3 linked regions of the Tribolium castaneum genome follow. The protein of the gene in region 1 purifies or fractionates together with the protein of each later gene. This does not show direct contact. Links are inferred from orthologs where the notes say so. Each region holds a gene or a part of one and is shown on either strand. Other genes may lie near its edges.

Region 1 (2,661 bases):
TCTGCTAGCAAATAGAATCCTGCATCCTGGTACCTAGTATCACAAGTACAAATTTTTACTTGGTTGGTTAAAAAATCGCTCTTTTTTATTTAATCGCAAACCGGACGCATGATTTATTTGAAGATAGTATTATAATTTAGCAACAAAGGGATCCTTTATCAGTTGCCGACCTTTTTGAAGCCCCTTATTTACACTTTTGCAGCAAATGCATTCAAATATTCTAACGAAATATTTTACAATGTTACTCTGATTGGTATTTTTTCTCTAATTTCTTAAACAATTAGTTGAAGTGAATACGTGTAGTTAAGCATAAAATTTAGAATTCTTATTTAATTAGAAATCGTGATTTTCTTAGATTAGGTTGCTGGATCTGTTATATAATGCAAAGCTGATTCCTGTTTTATTATTAGTTTTTGGGACATATTTAAGTTTAAACGTGGTCAAGTTCACCTGGCATAAGTATTAGTGGTAATTTTACTTGGATGTGGCTAAAGCCATTTATGATTTAAGTTCATAATCAATATTGTTAGTTACAAAATAAAACTAAAAATGCATATCCAAATTTTATTTCAAGCCCTATAATACAAAAGCCAACACTTATATACAAAATTGTCAAAATCACCTAAACTTTAATACAATATACAACACAAAGAACACAAACAATGAGAAGAAAAATAAATACACGATGTAATAATTATGAGACCCCTTTGACAACCGCAAAACCCTATTCATAGTATTCCCCAAAAACCCCCTAGTCCTGTCCATATCGTCATCCACATCTCGCAACAATTTGTCCTGATATTTCAGCTCGTTTCCTATATCTATCGAAAGGGACTTCAGTGCACCAACCTTGTCCCTTAATTCATTAGCCATTCGGTCATTTTCCTCCTCGACTTCGTTAGAAGTTTGGGGCAGAGGCTCGTAGTAGTTTCCGGCATGGGCCCTTCGCATTTTGAACGATTCCAGCTTTAAGGTTATGCCAAACTCGTCCGGAAATTTCACTTCGGGTCTTCACCCGCTGTTTCACTGTAACTTTACAATTTCACAATGTTTTTGCAAATTTGTTAACAGGTTGACGTGTTCAATTCAATTTTTGAGGTTACTAACGTCAAGTCTAGGGAATTTGCGTCAATACCACCCACCCTCAAATAAATTGATAAACACACGTAAAGGATAAATAATAATGGAAATTGAATTAAATTTGCCTGAGGTTAACAATTTGTTGCATTCTGATTTTGTACAAGTTGGTTAGGGTGGATAATTTCAAAATTCTGGTGTTTTTCGGTGGTGGTTGTTGGTTGTAGTTTCGCGTCAGGCAACCAGTAATACAACAAAGCACACAAGAAGTAATATTTGTGGTGAACACGGGTGTGTCGCTTGCATAGAGAAAGAGGAAACATTATTTAAATTTCGCGCTATGTGCTCACCCTGGACTGTCAACAATGTCAACCCATATAAGGCATAAAGCACAATTAGCATGCGCAGTTTTGTAAAACGGTTGACAACATTGACGGTTTATTTAAAATAATGTTTTTGTGTGTCATGTGTGGTCGTGAGACTGGCTTTAGTCACAGATCAGCATGTTGTCGTTTAGGTTCTTGTGTGAAAATCGCGTTTGCCTCATCACGGAACGCAATTATTCAAGAATGGAAAGAAGTCAGGGTGTATATGCCTTCAAATTCCCCCTGTACCTTCGTAAAGTGCACTTTGAATGTTATGTGAGACTGGAAGTGTTTTATAAAACGGAAAAGTAAAGTGCTAGTTTTGTGTACTGTTAAAATTAAGTTGTGCATGAATTAAGTTGTGCATGAGAAAATTACACAATATGTTTTACTTTCGAATGTATTTTGCACTACTATAATTAATAAAACCGTTTTTTTTAAATAGTGTAAATTTGTTAGTCCCGTGTTTAGTGATAATAATTTTACAGGTTGTATATACAAACTTTGGGTATATTTATTCAATTTTTGTATAAAACCAGTAATGCAAACTAATAAGGGTACATACATAAAATACGCAATGTTCAAATTGCGCGCGGTTTTTCAATTTCCAATATGCTGGATTTAGTTTCTCACCCGACCGCACTTAGCGCTATCAGCATTAATTTGTTTCCTCAAAATAACACGGCGCTGTCACTTCTTAACCTTTATATTCTTTGGTGGTGAAAACGCCAGAATTCACGTTGTTTCGTGCTGTTTATGCTAGTTCGTGTGAAAAACCGTCGAAATAATGTAAATTCAGCCTTTTCCAGGTGAGTTTGGCACAAAAAATGTGTGTATGTTTTTGAGGTTATGTTGGTGTTTTTGTTATGATTTGCAACAACAATGCTGTTTTTTGTTAGAATAAATTAGGCTGGTGCAGCTGTGGAGGCTATAAACCAGTCATAATCTGGCCCAACACCAAAATAATCCGAGCTAAAATAAACACTTCCTGTTTCGAAATGAGAGTTCGATCGGTGGGGCTGTTGTTAGGGGTGGCGCCACTGCGGGGGTGCTTTACAGTCTAGGTCGCGAATTATTGATTCGCTCAGCTGCTCTTTGTGTTTTGCTTCGCCAACATAACATTGAACAGCTGAGGATTGCTTGGCAGTCTTTTCACGTCTTTTGTGTTTGCTGTTTGTGTGGTCGAGGTTTTTCGATTGAAATTGTCGTTTGTTGGCAG
Region 2 (2,799 bases), on another chromosome or scaffold:
CCCCGAATGAACCGATCCGTGCTTCCTGAGCCGGACCAAAGTCTTGAAGGCTTTACCACAGGTTGAACAGGCAAACGGCCTGGCGGCTGTATGTGTTAAAAGGTGGTTGTCCAGATTCCCTTTCTGGACGAAGCTTTTCCCGCATTGGTCACACGTGTAGTCCCGCACCCCCGCATGGATTCTCTTATGAGCCATGAGGTTGGGTTTCGTCCCGAATTTCTTGGGGCACTGGTCGCATTGGTGCTTGTTTTTTAATTCAGCGGGCAGATGCGACCTCGCGTGCACCATGAGGGCGGATTGCATGCGGAAGCGTTTGCCACACGTGGTGCACGCATGGGGGCGCTCATCGCCGTGCTCGTTCCTGTGCTTCTTCTGGGCCAGGACTGTGGGGAACCACTTGGCGCAAATATCGCAACAGAAGCGCAGTTTGACGCGGTGGACGCGCACGTGCGTGAGGAAAGTGCTGTATTTTGTGTAAATTTTCGGACAGTCGGCGCAAGGATACGTGGGGGCTTGCCCGTGGACGGTGGCGTGGTGCTCCCGGAGGTCCTCCGAGTTGGTGAAGGTGTGCTGGCAGTCGCAGCAAGCCCAAGGATAGGAGTGCCAACCGAGGAGCTCGGCCTTGGGGGTTACGGTGCCGTCGTCGTTCAGCTCCACGTCACTCAACTCGGAGTCACTTTCTTTTTTACGGCCGGTTTTTTTGACTTTTGGTGAAGGCTTAAGTACGATATCTTCCGTTTTAACGGCTGAAGATGTGGTCACTTCGACCACGTTCAGTTTGCTTTCTTCGAGCGTGAGCGTGAAATCGAGCTTGCTCTCCTGGTGGGCTGCTTGCAGTTCTGTGTTGACGATGTCCTGGAGGATCTCTTGCGATTTCTGGATGTGTTGATTGAACTCCCATGTTTGTTTCACCGTTTCGGCGCATAATTGGCAGATTGTTGTTGGGAGTTTGTCCTCGGAGGTGATTCGGACTTGAAAGAGTTGAAAAATGCGTAAAATGAGATCGAGATCATCGAGACTGTTTAGATGATCGGTGCCGAACTCGGCGCACAGACGGCAGCGACCCTCCATGACATTATATCGAGCAAAAACGGCCCCCCGGCTGAAAAATCGGAAAAAATCCGGCAAACTTTACATTACTTTTTTGGTCAATAATAAACAAACATGGCCGTTTGACACAATAGTGACATTTACGCATTTTTGTCTCCCAAAGACACAGACTAATTAATTAGCGAAAGCCTAAAGTTCGTGTCTTTAACATTTTGGAAGTAATTAACAATTCCGGTTGTCCCAAAAGTGGGGAAAATGCCGAGAAAAGTCGGAAAATTGAAATGGACGGTGCCAATCCCACGTCGCAAAATCCCCAAAATTGACAATCAGTCAGTGACAGATGACGCAAACGTCAACAACATGCTGTAACATCATCAAAATTTAAATTTGCAATGTGTCTTGGCTTTGCCCCCAATCATGGATACACTTTACCATCAGACCAACAAATTAATTCAACAGACGCAACAAAGCTTTCAAGCTTTGGAGCAAAACTCTGGCAACGTCCTCGAAATCGAAGCTGACATTCAAGAGAAGATTACCACAATTAATAGGTAAAAATCGCAATTTACCTCGTCACCCAATTAATAAATTATTGCAGTAATTGTGAAAAACTCGATGTTTATTTATATAAAGTCCCGATCGACCAAAGACCTAACGCGAAAATGCGCTGCGATCAGTTGAAGTATGATGCAAGGCACCTTCAGGCGGCCCTAGTGGCCTCTAGACAGAAAAGGGCACGACGAGAGGCTGCGATTAATGAAAGGGAACAATTGTTGAATCGCCGGTTTGCCCCTAATCCCGATCTGACGACCATCAATATAGACTATGCGTTACAGCACCAGAATTCATTACAGAATTCTCATAGAGGTGTAGACGAAATGCTACACACGGGGGTTAATGCGTTAGAGTCGCTTAGGTCGCAAAGACTGACTTTGAAGGGGGCACATCGTCGCATTATGGACATGGCTAATACGCTGGGGCTGAGTAACCACACAATGAGACTAATCGAGAAAAGGGCCGGTGAAGACAAATATATACTGATACTGGGAATCGTGATTACGCTTTTAGTGATTGTTTTTGTAATTGTGTATTTTACATAGAGAGGTGACACATTCCCTGGTTGTTGTGAATTATGTAATCTTGATTTATTAATAAAAAATTAATTCGTTTTGGTTGGGTTAAATATTTGGGATTGGCAGTGAAGGGTAAAGAAAATGCGTGGTTGTTTGATTGCTAGAATTTATTTCGTCCCTCTTTCCGTTCTTTAACAATAAAAATAAATTTTCTACAAAAAATACTCGATAAGTCTATTTTATAGTTTTAAATTAATAAGTGTGAACTATTTATGTGGTGGGGTTATTTGAGCCAGTACGATTTCTAGTTAATTTATAGACAGGGAAAAATCGTACCGATCCAACGGGATCGCTTTTAAAATTTAATAAATGCCCATATCACTTTGTATTTGTGAAAAATGAAGCCGACATACGATTCAAACGTATACTTGAAATAGAAGATTGTTAGATCAGCAGGCAAGGCACATTGTCATGATAGTTCCTACAGTTCCGGGAAGAATAACAAAGTGATATAGTTAACAACAATACTGAATATAACAAGCATTATATTTTAATTCTTAAATCAGGTTAAGTGTTTTCGTAACAAATTAAATCAAAATTTCTATACTTTATACAACATTAAACAGAAATAAATATTCTAAAAATATCAGTCGTAAAGAAAAAATCTATCTGTACA
Region 3 (3,192 bases), on another chromosome or scaffold:
CTGGGGAATCACAGTTCAAATTCGAAATCGAGCTCGAACTTGACTGGGTCCAGTCACTCGAGTCGGCATGGCGACCGCCAGAGGGACAACTCGCAAAACTCACAACCTATGTCTTTCACCCAACAGTTGCAACAATGCACAAGGGGTGGCAAAACGAGACCGTTGAGTAAATTACTATCGCCGCTGCAAAGCGAGCCACAGAGTCCCATCTACGCGTCGCCGCCGCTCAGTCCCGTTCACGACACGCCTAACATGTTCGGTACGTATGTACAAAAATTACAGGAATCTGTAAAAAATTACAGGAACCTGTACCGACTTTGCCAAAATTTCAGAATTTACAGGCGCTATGAACATCTACCAGCCGGTGCTGCGGCATAACAACTTCGCCAAGGCGCCCGACACGCATTTCGCGCGCGACACCCACATGCGCATCATTCTGGGTAACTCGAGCGGTATCGGCGTGGGAAACAAGAAGGGTGACCAGCAGAACAATGAGTCGAATTCGAAATCTAGGTGGGTTTGTAACTACGGTTGGTAGTCGTGTTTGACGATTGTGTGTTAGCAGTCAGAAGCCGAAACGTAACGGTATTGTGACGAATCCAGCGCTGCGATTGGTGGCGAATGTGAAGAATGGGCTGGACACGGCCGCCGCCAACTTGAGGAAATCAACGTCCGGCGCGAATCCGAGTACAAAAACGAACAGTTTTCATTGGAGGAAAGAAACGCCATTGTAAAATTAATTGTTAAGTCACTGCGTGAATTACTAGTCAATACTATACGGTGGGGATTTTTTCGTTTGAATGTTGCCCTGACAGGTTTTTAAAACGCTAACAACACTCACCTAGTCTTACCTATATCAAAGATTTAATTTTTTATTAGATTATCGAATGGTTAATCTAGTAGCGACATAACTCAGATTCTAGGCCTAAGTTTGTTCAACGATGAGTTTACTGAAATCAGTTGTGATAGAGACGTAGTTTAGTAAACAGGTAACAATAATTCAAGGCTTCAGTTCAGTTCTCTCTCGTAAGATCTCATTTTGCAAAATATATTTTTGTATGTTTGGAGTTATTTTCGGGTATTGTGTGTGTTTCTCTTCAAGCAATTCGCTGTTTCATTCAATACGTATCAATTAATGTATGCCTTTTTTGTATTTACAATAAAACAGCTTTAGTTTTATACTATTAAAGTTGTGCACTGTATATGTTCAGAACAGTATTAAACTTGAAATATTTAAATAAATACATGTAAAAGTGTACAAGTTGCAATTTTATGTGATTCCCCTGTTCTATCCCACTGTTCCCTCATTTCCCATACACATTAGTTAGGGGATTTGCTCGTATGCGCCGTGCGGTTGGCTGCACTTTTTCCAAATCAGCAGCAACATGGCGGCGGCTCTTTCATACGAAGGTAAATAAACAATTAATTACACCTTAATTAAAACACGTTAATTGTTACAATTGCGTAAAATATTAGCCGGGTATTGCGTTTTGAGGTAGGGCCCCCTTGTCTTGTTTCAGACCTCCGCAAACACGCGCGCTACTTAGAGAACGAAATCGACTTAAAACTCGTCGCGTTTAGTAAACTGGGGGCCGGTATCAAGTCGCCCCCAGCTCATTCGAGCTCCGATGCTGTGCCCCTTCTCTCAGGCGAGGACACTTTCGAGGCCATGTCTCTCGAAATTGAGGAATTGTTGAATAAAGTAAGCGGGCCCCCAAAAAATCACCCCAAATAACAATTCCTTACAGTTAACACAAGTTAACGACAGGATGGGGGAACAGCCCGTCTCGGGGGCTGCCATGCTGCACACCCTCCAACGCCACCGTGATATTTTGGCCGATTTATCGCGCGATTTCCGAAAGACTACGTCCCAGCACGAGATCAGGCGAGAGAGGGAGGATTTGTTAAGGGGGTCCAGTGATACGTTCAGGGGCGATGGTGTTAATAATAGGCGCGATATGTACTTGAAGGAGAATCAACACTTGCACAGGTGAGTGGAGTAGGCTTAGGATTCGACTACGGAGGACTATGAGTTAGGAGACGAAACAAAATCGTACCCGGAAGAGATAGTTCGGCGGTGTCAAAGTGAGGGCGCTGCGAGCGCCAAAATGCAGAAGTTGAGCTTTGCACTAGTTTACGATAAAAAAAATTGTCGTTTCGTCTCCTAGCCTTTGGATTTGCGCAGCCTTGACTTGGGTTTGGTTCTAGTTCAGAGCGGTTGGTTAATGAGCAAATTTCCATTGCGATGGAGACTCGGGAACATTTGACCAATCAGAGACAGACGTTTAAGCGCTTGCAGACGAGGTTTAATGATTTGTCAAATCGGTACCCAGTCATCAATAGTCTCATTCAGAGGATTAACATTAAAAAAAGGAGGGATTCGATTATTTTAGGGTTGGTCGTTTCAGGGTGCACCGTTTTGATGCTACTTTACGCTTTCCATTGACTCTAACTGTGATAATTTTTATTGTATCAGAATATCTAACCAAAAATCGAGGGTAGTGTTAGTGGCGGTATTTATATTTGTTATGAATAAAATGATTTTTTTAGAGTTGTTTAAACCCTACCTGCACCATCCTATTGACAGACCAAGCGTAATTAAATATTTTATTGGCAACTAATTTTAAAAGTTACATTCTATGATAGTTGCTAAATTAAATGCAAGTATCTATGTTTACTTTTACAAATATACCAAGAACTAATGAGTTTACAATTTAGAGATTAAAACCTAAACAAACGAAAGATTAAGAAGCTGTCCCACTGCATGTAATGCCCTGGCTTAGAAAATATCATAAAGGAACTGTTATATCTTTACAATTAAATACTCGATCTTCTTATATACAGTTATAACATCAAAAAGTGTAAAGAAATACATAATAGTGAAAAAAATTATGTACAATTTCCGCAATGTTTTTAGTTGCAACAGTTTAGAAAAATATTGCGAAAACCAACAACATTCTACAGAGTCTATACATTAATGGTATATAAAATAAAATAGTCATTTTTTTGTGTACGTCAGTACCTCCCTAACAATTATTGTACAAGGATCTCAATTTTACACCTGGAAACATAGATAACATGGTTACACGGTCGTTAATTAAAGGTAATCCCAATCCGCGCGAAAACGTGACAATTCATTCAACTAGTGCAAAATTTCGTACAAACTTTATACCTTCTAAAATTCATCACAGT

Evidence for each region.
Region 2: the proteins of Bet1 (region 1) and Membrin purify together in Homo sapiens (affinity purification with mass spectrometry; 3 studies listed by BioGRID and IntAct, with this or other methods). This does not show direct contact. The link is inferred for Tribolium castaneum from reciprocal best matches to the Homo sapiens genes BET1 and GOSR2.
Region 3: the proteins of Bet1 (region 1) and Gos28 purify together in Homo sapiens (affinity purification with mass spectrometry; 3 studies listed by BioGRID and IntAct, with this or other methods). This does not show direct contact. The link is inferred for Tribolium castaneum from reciprocal best matches to the Homo sapiens genes BET1 and GOSR1.

Annotation. Positions count from the first base shown.
Region 1 is NC_087395.1:4,198,531-4,201,191, forward strand, and holds Bet1 (BET1 homolog), read right to left. Parts: upstream 1,103-2,661; 5' UTR 952-1,102; coding exon 619-951; 3' UTR 551-618; downstream 1-550. Other genes in the region: tripartite motif-containing protein 2, read left to right, coding at 2,199-2,251. UniProt on the Homo sapiens protein: Required for vesicular transport from the ER to the Golgi complex. Functions as a SNARE involved in the docking process of ER-derived vesicles with the cis-Golgi membrane.
Region 2 is NC_087398.1:4,981,089-4,983,887, forward strand, and holds Membrin (probable Golgi SNAP receptor complex member 2), read left to right. Parts: upstream 1-1,314; 5' UTR 1,315-1,467; coding exon 1,468-1,601; intron 1,602-1,648; coding exon 1,649-2,150; 3' UTR 2,151-2,218; downstream 2,219-2,799. Other genes in the region: gastrula zinc finger protein XlCGF26.1-like, read right to left, coding at 1-1,071; ubiquitin carboxyl-terminal hydrolase CYLD, read right to left, coding at 2,789-2,799. UniProt on the Homo sapiens protein: Involved in transport of proteins from the cis/medial-Golgi to the trans-Golgi network.
Region 3 is NC_087401.1:15,408,033-15,411,224, forward strand, and holds Gos28 (Golgi SNAP receptor complex member 1), read left to right. Parts: upstream 1-1,303; 5' UTR 1,304-1,385; coding exon 1,386-1,410; intron 1,411-1,520; coding exon 1,521-1,702; intron 1,703-1,748; coding exon 1,749-1,990; intron 1,991-2,208; coding exon 2,209-2,446; 3' UTR 2,447-2,551; downstream 2,552-3,192. Other genes in the region: ankyrin repeat domain-containing protein 50, read left to right, coding at 1-259, 333-513, 563-734. UniProt on the Homo sapiens protein: Involved in transport from the ER to the Golgi apparatus as well as in intra-Golgi transport. It belongs to a super-family of proteins called t-SNAREs or soluble NSF (N-ethylmaleimide-sensitive factor) attachment protein receptor.